Oryctolagus cuniculus: one gene and its partner. The protein of the gene in region 2 interacts with the protein of the main gene of each other region in a biochemical or structural test. Links are inferred from orthologs where the notes say so. Each region holds a gene or a part of one and is shown on either strand. Other genes may lie near its edges.

What was found.
Region 1: the proteins of ERBB4 (region 2) and NRG2 form a complex in vitro, tested with the Homo sapiens proteins (2 studies listed by BioGRID). The link is inferred for Oryctolagus cuniculus from reciprocal best matches to the Homo sapiens genes ERBB4 and NRG2.

What each region holds. Positions count from the first base shown.
Region 1 is NC_091437.1:27,537,010-27,540,651, forward strand, and holds part of NRG2 (pro-neuregulin-2, membrane-bound isoform), read right to left. Parts: intron 682-3,642; coding exon 510-681; intron 1-509. UniProt on the Homo sapiens protein: Direct ligand for ERBB3 and ERBB4 tyrosine kinase receptors. Concomitantly recruits ERBB1 and ERBB2 coreceptors, resulting in ligand-stimulated tyrosine phosphorylation and activation of the ERBB receptors.
Region 2 is NC_091434.1:26,982,420-26,986,785, forward strand, and holds the start of ERBB4 (receptor tyrosine-protein kinase erbB-4), read left to right. Parts: upstream 1-1,535; 5' UTR 1,536-2,220; coding exon 2,221-2,302; intron 2,303-2,309; exon of another isoform or gene 2,310-4,366. UniProt on the Homo sapiens protein: Tyrosine-protein kinase that plays an essential role as cell surface receptor for neuregulins and EGF family members and regulates development of the heart, the central nervous system and the mammary gland, gene transcription, cell proliferation, differentiation, migration and apoptosis.

The sequences.
Region 1 (3,642 bases), on a different chromosome or scaffold from region 2:
TGGGGGGAGCCTCTGCTTTACTTCCCTGGAGCCTGCTTCCGTGCTGGGCTGCGGGGCCACTGTTGCCAAGACACACTCCCAACTCCCGTCCAAGCTCTCTGGCAATCAGCAGTTTGGGAAACCGAGAAACCAGCACCCCAGGTGGTTGGCGGGGAGAGGTGTACGGCAGCCAGGGCTGTCACTGAGGATTCTAGATGACCGGGCTTTTAGACCCTGGGACAGGTCTCCTGAGGAAAGTTTAAGGGGCAGGTAAGAACTTCCACTAGCAAAGCTGACCTTGACAATCAAATTGCCTTTGACCTTCAGAGCTGTTAATCACTTAATTCTTGCCTAGAACCTTCCCAGGGGGTCCAGAGCTGCAAGAAGGCTGGGTGTGGGCAGGAGTGGGGGAGGGGATGGAGAGGCAGTGGGATGAGCCCCGTGGCCACACAGCTCGGGGCTGCAGCCGGGGCTCTGCCCAGCCCAGGCCCCTCCTTGCCGGGAGGAGAGGGCGCCCGGACGCTGCTCACCTGCCGTTGCCGTACTTGATGCGGATGTCACGACTACGGTTGAGCTCCTTGCCGTCCTTGAACCACCGGTAGGAGGGCTGGGGGTTCCCGGCTGCTGCCTCGCACTTGAGTGACTGCTTCTCACCCACCTGTCCTGTCTGGCTCTTCATCTTCTTCAGCTTCGGCCGGGTGGCTGTGGGGCACAAGGCAGATGGGTGAGTGTGGTGGAGGTGGGCACAGTGCCAAGCGTGAGCGAAGGGGGGTGTGGGGCCCTGTCCTTGGGCTGGGCTGGAAGAGGCAGGGAGCGAGGTGAGGGCTGAGGGCCCGCCCCCGGGCGCGTTTCTCATCTGCAGTGCTATCCAGGTAGCTGCTGCTCAGGAAGTGGCCCTGTGCCTGCCAGCTTAGGAAAGCAGCGCAGTAAGCCCGCGATTTCACTGCAATGATTGAACTCGTTCACAGGCGGGGACGCTGAGGCTCAGCACGGTCAGGTCTCTTGCCTAAGGGGGCGGGCAATGAAACGATTCAAAGCCAGGTCTCCTCGACTTCGTTCTCACGATCTAACTCTTGTCCCGGATGCCCAGGCCTGCGCCATGCCCAGAGGGCACAGGTGGACCGAGAGGACACCTCAGCTCCCACTCTCAGGCAGAGCGGCTGTGACCGGCACTGCTGTCACTGCAGGGTGTGCCCAGGCCAGGCTCGGGGCAGCACTCTCTCTGCTCAGAGGTAAGGGCTGGGAGGGAGGATGGAGGAAGGCGAGCCAGGCACAGGGGGCGCCATGGCTGACGTGGGTGGGTGAGATGGGGGGCAAGGCCTGGATGGCACTGGCGGACACAGGACCTGTTACTGATGCAAAACCACCTGTGCCAAGCTGCAGGCTTCCCCGGCTTTCCTTAAACTCCCTGCAATTTGCACACAGCCCAGTCTGCCAGGCATCACAGACTGCCAGGCATCACCTCCTTGCTCCTCTCCCCATCAACTAAACAAAGACAAACAAGTAAAAGGAAAAAGGTGAGGGCAAGCCAGAGCTCCCTGCTGGGCTGTGTGATAAACCCCATGGGCACAGCCCCCCTCAGCAGGTGCACGCCTTCCTGCACGCGCTCACTGTCCCAAGCACCGTCCCACTGCCTGCCGCTGAAGCTGAGGCTCTGAGAGCTCCAGGGTCTGGGAAGTGGGCAGGAGATGGGATGGCTGCAGGGCACGGAGAGAGCAGGGAGCCCGCCTTAGGAGCACACCATACAGGCAGCACAGCTCCGCTCACGTCGGGAGGGAAAGACTACAGAAGATCAAAAGAAAATCAATGTGATCCCAGTGCTCAGAACTCTCTCTCCCTTTCCCTCCCTCGCTGCCTCCGCCTGCCTCTCTCTCTCTCTCTCTCTCTCTCTCTCTCTCTCTCTCCACACACACACACACACACACACACACACAGTGGGATCAGTGCTAGCAACATGTTTCTTTCATTTAACGAAACAATGTAAGCCTTTCACCTTGGTGTTGAATATTAATAGGAGCATTTCCCCACAATGAGATCTCTAAGTCATGAGTTTCTGGAGATGAAAACAGACGCTGCTTGAGAAACGGGTTCCGTGAGCAATCTGGTTTGGAGAACATGTGCGTGAGCCCGGGCCAGGAAGCATCTTTATCCACTTCAATAAGATGCTCCAAGCAAGGACCTTGACACTGTTTTTCTTGGAACCCTTAGCAGCATTTCAAGGAAATAAAGTTATGTGGAACAAATTCTCTGACCTGACTAATGGTGGACGTGCAGAAGGGTACACGGCTTATCAAACAAGTCTCCCTGCAACTTCTGACGACAGCCACGTGACTGCCTCCTAAGGGCGAACTGACTTTATCAGCTCTCTTTACACCCCTCAGAGATCTGTTAGTCACAACCCCCCTACCCTCGGCTACGCACACATGTGGTTTTCAGGGCATCCTTTTTCATGACTGCGTAATGTTCCTGGGGCACGTGCCCCATAATTAAATAGTGCATTCCTGCTGTGGGGCAGTCAGCAAGCCCCCTCCCTCCATCACACATGACCCAGGGGGAACCTCCTCATAGGTGCATAACCACACACCTCCCAGCACCCCTCTGCTCTAGGCGTTCAAGTCTGAGCTTTGCAACTGTGAGCTTTGGGTCCTGGGGCCGTGTCCACAGGCTTGCTGCGTTGGCACCTCAGCGCCCTCCTTGGCAACACACAGGTGGTAAATAATAGCTGCTCCCTCAGGGGGTGAGGGCTGCGAGGATTCCATGAGATGATGCACGGAGCACCTGGCGCAGATGCAGCAGCTAATGAGGGCCGGCTATTACTGCTATTGCTAGCCACAATTATTTCCTACGGCGATCTTGCTCAAAGCAGAAGTGCTGCGTCAAAGGGGGTGCAAATCTGCTCTGCGCATGCTGCCAACACCCCTGGGGGAGGCTGCACCCAGCTGCACTGCCCCCAGTGGATGGCAGAGCCTGTTCTTCCTACATCCTCCCCAACAGGAGCCCTTATCATGCCTCTCATCTCGGCCAATTAGCCAGGCAAAAGATAGCGTCGATTTGTTAGTTTCAATTTGCACTACGTGCATTACTGGTGAGGCTGACTTTTTTCACAAGTGCATCGGTCTGCTGTGTTTCTTCCTATGCAGTCGCCGGTTCACGCCTGTGGTCTGTTTCTTTACCGAGTGCTCGGCTTATTGATTTGCCAGAGCTCCTGAGAAGCCTGAGGGCTCCTCACCTTCTGCAGTGTCTTCCTACTTCCCTCATTCTCACAGCTTAAAATCCTGGCGTATTTTTGGGCACCGAGAGCCTTTATGCGCATCAGTGTGTTCACCTGTGGGAGCTTCTGGAACGTCATTCTTGCGCGTGTGAGTGAAGTCGCGCCTCAGCACCCTCCCAGCCCCGCGGCATCAGCCTCCTTTACCCGCTCTGTACTGCCCAGTGGCTCCTCCCCGTGGCGCTCACCTGGCAGCAAGGTCTCTAGGGAGCTGCTTGTGATGCCAAGCGGAAGGCTGGGACGTGGTCCGCAGAGCCCAGCAGTGCACCCAGGCATGGCGCTTTGGTTTTTAGTTTATTTCAGAGGCAGAGAGACACACACACAGAGGGAGCTCCTGTCCTCTGGTTCACTCCCAGAATGCCCACAATGGTCGGCACTGGGACTGGGTCAGGCCA
Region 2 (4,366 bases):
GAGTCATCATGAGGAACTGAAGAGGACTTAAGGAAAAGTGTATGGGAAGGCATTGAATGAAAGAAAAAAGAGAGGGAGGTTGATAAAAATAGGAGTAAAGATAACCCCCAAAGGGCCATGTACACAGTTCTGCACAATCAGTTCCATTCTGGTTAGTCGCCATCATCTGCTCTAGGCTTGGTTTCTCCCTGCCCTAGGCTGCTTTTGGGTAAAAAAGCATGCTCAGCTTGTTTTGTCTCTTTGCTGGGCCTAGGAAAGAGAGAGAAGCTTTTTTTTGGGGGGGGGGGTGCGTAGGAAAGAGAAACTCCAGGCTTCTGCTCTTCCTATCTGTTCCAGGGAGATTCTTAAGGGACAGGGCTAGAGATAAAAGATGTGGGAGAGAAAAGGGAAGGTCCCAGTTGATGACAGAAGATACAGGGTGGTTTGATTTTTAAGTTCCCAGGTACTTTTTATTTATATATTTCCTATTTGTAGAGAAACCAAAAAAGGAAAATGATTAGTACGTAGTATGCCTGCGCAAATAGCAAACCCATAACCTACTAACCCCAGGAGATTTTGGCTCCTGTCCTGGGTAGTTTCAGAGCTGTAAGAGGTATGGGGTATGTACGTGGAGAGTCTCCAATTCCAGGATATAGTAATTAGATTCAGAAACCTCTCAGAGAATCCCAAAGCTACCAGTGACCCGGGGATTAGGGAGCCTAACTGGCAGAGAACACGGAAGTGTCTCCAGCTGCGTCTACTACTAGAATAAACCTCATCATTTGAGGTCCATTACATTCTGACATGGCCGCCTTAAATTCTTTCAGACCCAACAGTTCAGGCTTGGAACGTTTTTGAGCCCTTTAAAAGCAAATTAGCAGTTGGGCTAGAATGTGCCTAGAGAGAATGAACCCCAGACAAGTGGTCCAGAGAAAAGGCAGCATGGCCCATGAGAATCTGAAAGTCAATGATGTGGTTCTGCCAATGCAGATTTTTAGTTTGGTTCAGAGTCTTCCCGTTTGGCCGGGTGTAACTGGGGAAGGGGGATGATTACCGCGGAGGACGACCTGGTGTGCTGGGGCTACCAGTTACCGAACTCTCCTGTAAATTACCTTCTAAGCGTGGAGCATGACTGTTTTTTTTTTTTTTGGGGGGGGGGGAGGGTTTGCACATCCTTTTACTGAAGAAAGTTCTGTCTGTGGATGAGCACTGTGGGGCAATGGAGAAAAAAAAAAAATCTGTCCTCTAAGCATCCTAACGGTGGTCTGTCCCCTCGCGGGCCAGCTGTCCCGTCCTCCGCCGGGGCGGGAAGGAGAGTGTTTCGGTCCACGGATTCGGGTGAGCCCTTTAAATCCAGCCTCCCCGCCCCCACCTCCCCGTTGCCTCTCTCTGACAGGTGTTTTCCCAACTCTGGAGGCTGAGGATTTTGGGGAGTGGCTGAGCCAATAAGATCTCCCTTTTTGGGGGGGGGGAAGGGCGTGGCCAGCTGGGTCAGAGCAGGGGCGGGGTTTGTGCCGCTGAGCCGAGCTTGCCTGGTTGCGTGGAGGGTTGTTTTATCCCCCCCCCCCCACCGTCCCCACCGCCCCCCACCTTTTTTTTATTTATTTCGGAGTCTTATTAATTTCTCTGTGGGGCTGCAGCTGGAGACCGCGGAGCGTTGGAAATGACGCTCGGAGCTTTAATTACCGCAGCCGCTGGACAAGTGTGAGGAAAGCTGACAGGAACAAGGACAGGATCGGGGGAGACGCCAGCAGCTCCCCCCGCCTCCCGATTTGGACTGGAGGTGCAAGGAAACTGAAAAGGGAGCCGAACATAGCCCGGCTTGGGGGGGGAGAGGCCGGAAACCTACCGCCTCTTTGCAATCAACTTTTTTTGGAAACCTTTCTCTCCCCTTCCTTTTTATTGTTGACCAACCAGTGAGAGAGAGAAAGTGAAGAGAGAGCGAGAGCGCGAAGCTCCCACGGGGAAAATAGCTGCACAGTCCGCCCGGAGCAGCCCGCGCCACCCGGGAGCGCTCCCCGGCGCGCTCCGCGACGCCCACTCCTCTACGGCCGGCCCGGCCCTGGGCCCGCGGGCGCGGACTCGGTCGCCCGCGCTGGGGAGCCGCTGGACCGCGCGCGCCGCGCCCGCCCCCTCGCGCCCCCACTCGCGTCGGACTGGGGGAATCTCCTCCGCGTGCCCGAAAGGGGCTATGCCAGTTGGACATGTAATTGTCAGCACGGGACCTGAGACTTCCAAAAAATGAAGCTGGCGACAGGACTGTGGGTCTGGGTGAGCCTTCTCGTGGCGGCGGGGACCGTCCAGCCCGGCGCTTCTCAGTCAGGTGGGTCGCGCTCCTTCTCGCGCTCCAGCAGTTGAACCTGTCGCCGCCGCCGCCGCCGGCTAGGCTGCCTCGGTGGCTCCCCTGCCGTCTTTGCCCACCCCGACCCCGGCTCGCCCCCAGGCGCGGAGGGACCCCTGGACTGGGGCCTCTGGCACCGGCTCCCGGTCACCCCTTTCTTTCTCCATCCTAAACTTACCCTGTGTGTATGTGCGCGGGCGCGCAAGTGTTTTATTTATCGTGAAAAATTACTCTGCACCCCATGACCCTTTCCCCCCCTCTCTCCTTAAGCCACCTTCTTTCTCCCTCGCGTGTTTTCCCTGTGCCTAAGCGGGCTCGCTGCTAGTCGCGCCTGTTGTTCGGACGCGGGAGACCCAGACCCTCAGCCAGAGGAGCCCTCCGGTCTCGGACTCTGTGCCCTCAAGGCAACAAGCCGCAAAGGAAGGCGCACCGCAGGAGCCTGGGCAGGGCTGGGGTCCCGGGGTGGTGCTGGCCGGGCTGCTCCGCAGCCCGCGGGCTGTGGAGCGTGCAGCTCCGAGAACCAGGCTGTGCACCTGTGTGTGCTCCCTGTGGCCGCTGCGCCCCCAGTCGCCCGAGGTTTGCGGGGTCAGGCACGACTGGAGCCCAGCCTGGGCAGCCTGGAGAGCGCGGCGGGCGGGCGTGCCTCGGCCCGGGCCTGGAACTGCCAGCCTCCTCGGCTGGCGTCCCGGAGTCCCTCGCCCCATTGACTCGAGGGGTGCTTGCTTGCATGCCTGTCCTATTAAAAAAAATTAAAAGAGGCTTGGCACGTTGAGCTAGGAGCCCGGCCTTCCCGTCGGTGGCTGTGTTTGGCTCCGGGAGGAGTTCTTCCTGTAGTTCAACTTGCTATTGGCCGGACTCCCTCCAACTTCTCTGTTTACTGCCCGGCCGGGCTGCGGAGCCTGCCGGTCGCGCGAATTGATTTAACCCGAGGCGGGCGCGGCGGCTGCGCTCCCGGGCGCGGTCAGTGTTTGCTGGAGAGCTTGAGCCCCAGGTACCTGGACAGGCAAAGGGCTAATTGACCCCGAGGGGCCGCGCAGGGGGCTGGCGCGCCGCAGCGGGCAGGGCTAATGACAGCAGCACCTGCAGGGACAGGGGAGCTCTAAGTTTCCAACACTGGGAGTTTCCTGGGGATGACCTGGGGACTGGAAAGGAATGAGGAGAACCGGTGTCTGACGCGGCCAAGGTGGGGGGTGGTGGTGGTGGTGGCCTCTGGAGAGCCCGGGGGAGATTTCCGGAGCCGTTTGGGGTTGCTGGCGAGAGCGTGGGAGGCAGCTTGAGGAGATAAAGCCCCTGGGAGTGGCGATAGGGCGAGCTTTAGGCCTCCGGAGGGTGTCCTCCTGACCTCGCCAAGAGAACGGCGGCTCGCGGTAGTTTCCCCGCTCCGCCCCCGCCTCCCCCTCGCTGCCTAGTAAATAACAAGTTCCAATCATGGAGCCTTTCAGAATGACCTTCGCCTGGCACATGTGCGCCGTTTGCACCCTCCCAATTACTCCGAAATTCTTCATGCATACCAGGTCCCGCGCTCCAGCCACCTCGGGAATTGCACCGTCTCGAGATTCCAAGCGGCCTCTTAGATACATCCCTTTTTATCTGCCTCCCCACTCCCAGTCCCTTCATATTTTCCCTCAATGGGTTGATTATGCACATTGACCCATTCAAAAACAGTTGCGACCGACAGGCAGGCTGAGGCGGGAGGAATTTCTAGGAGGCGACCTACTGGGGGCTGTCTGGTTCAGCCTCTGCCGCTGGAGGACCCGCTCCCGGTACGCAGCAATTTGGTATTAACTGTGCGGCGCGGGGCTGAGCTATTCCGAAAAGCCCTTTTCAGAATTTCTGCAAGGAATGTAATCCAAATTAGTTCTGCAGCTGTCCTCTTCCTCGTCTCAGGCGACACCAGCTCTTGCCCTCGCTCGTCTCTTCTCCTTTCCCTGGGCGAATTGTCAGACCCACAAGTGAGCCCATTTAGAGCGCGAGGATTAGCGTGCCATTGTTGTTCCGAGTGTGACTCTGTACTTGAAATTCTGGGGGCACAAAGGAGAGCCTCAC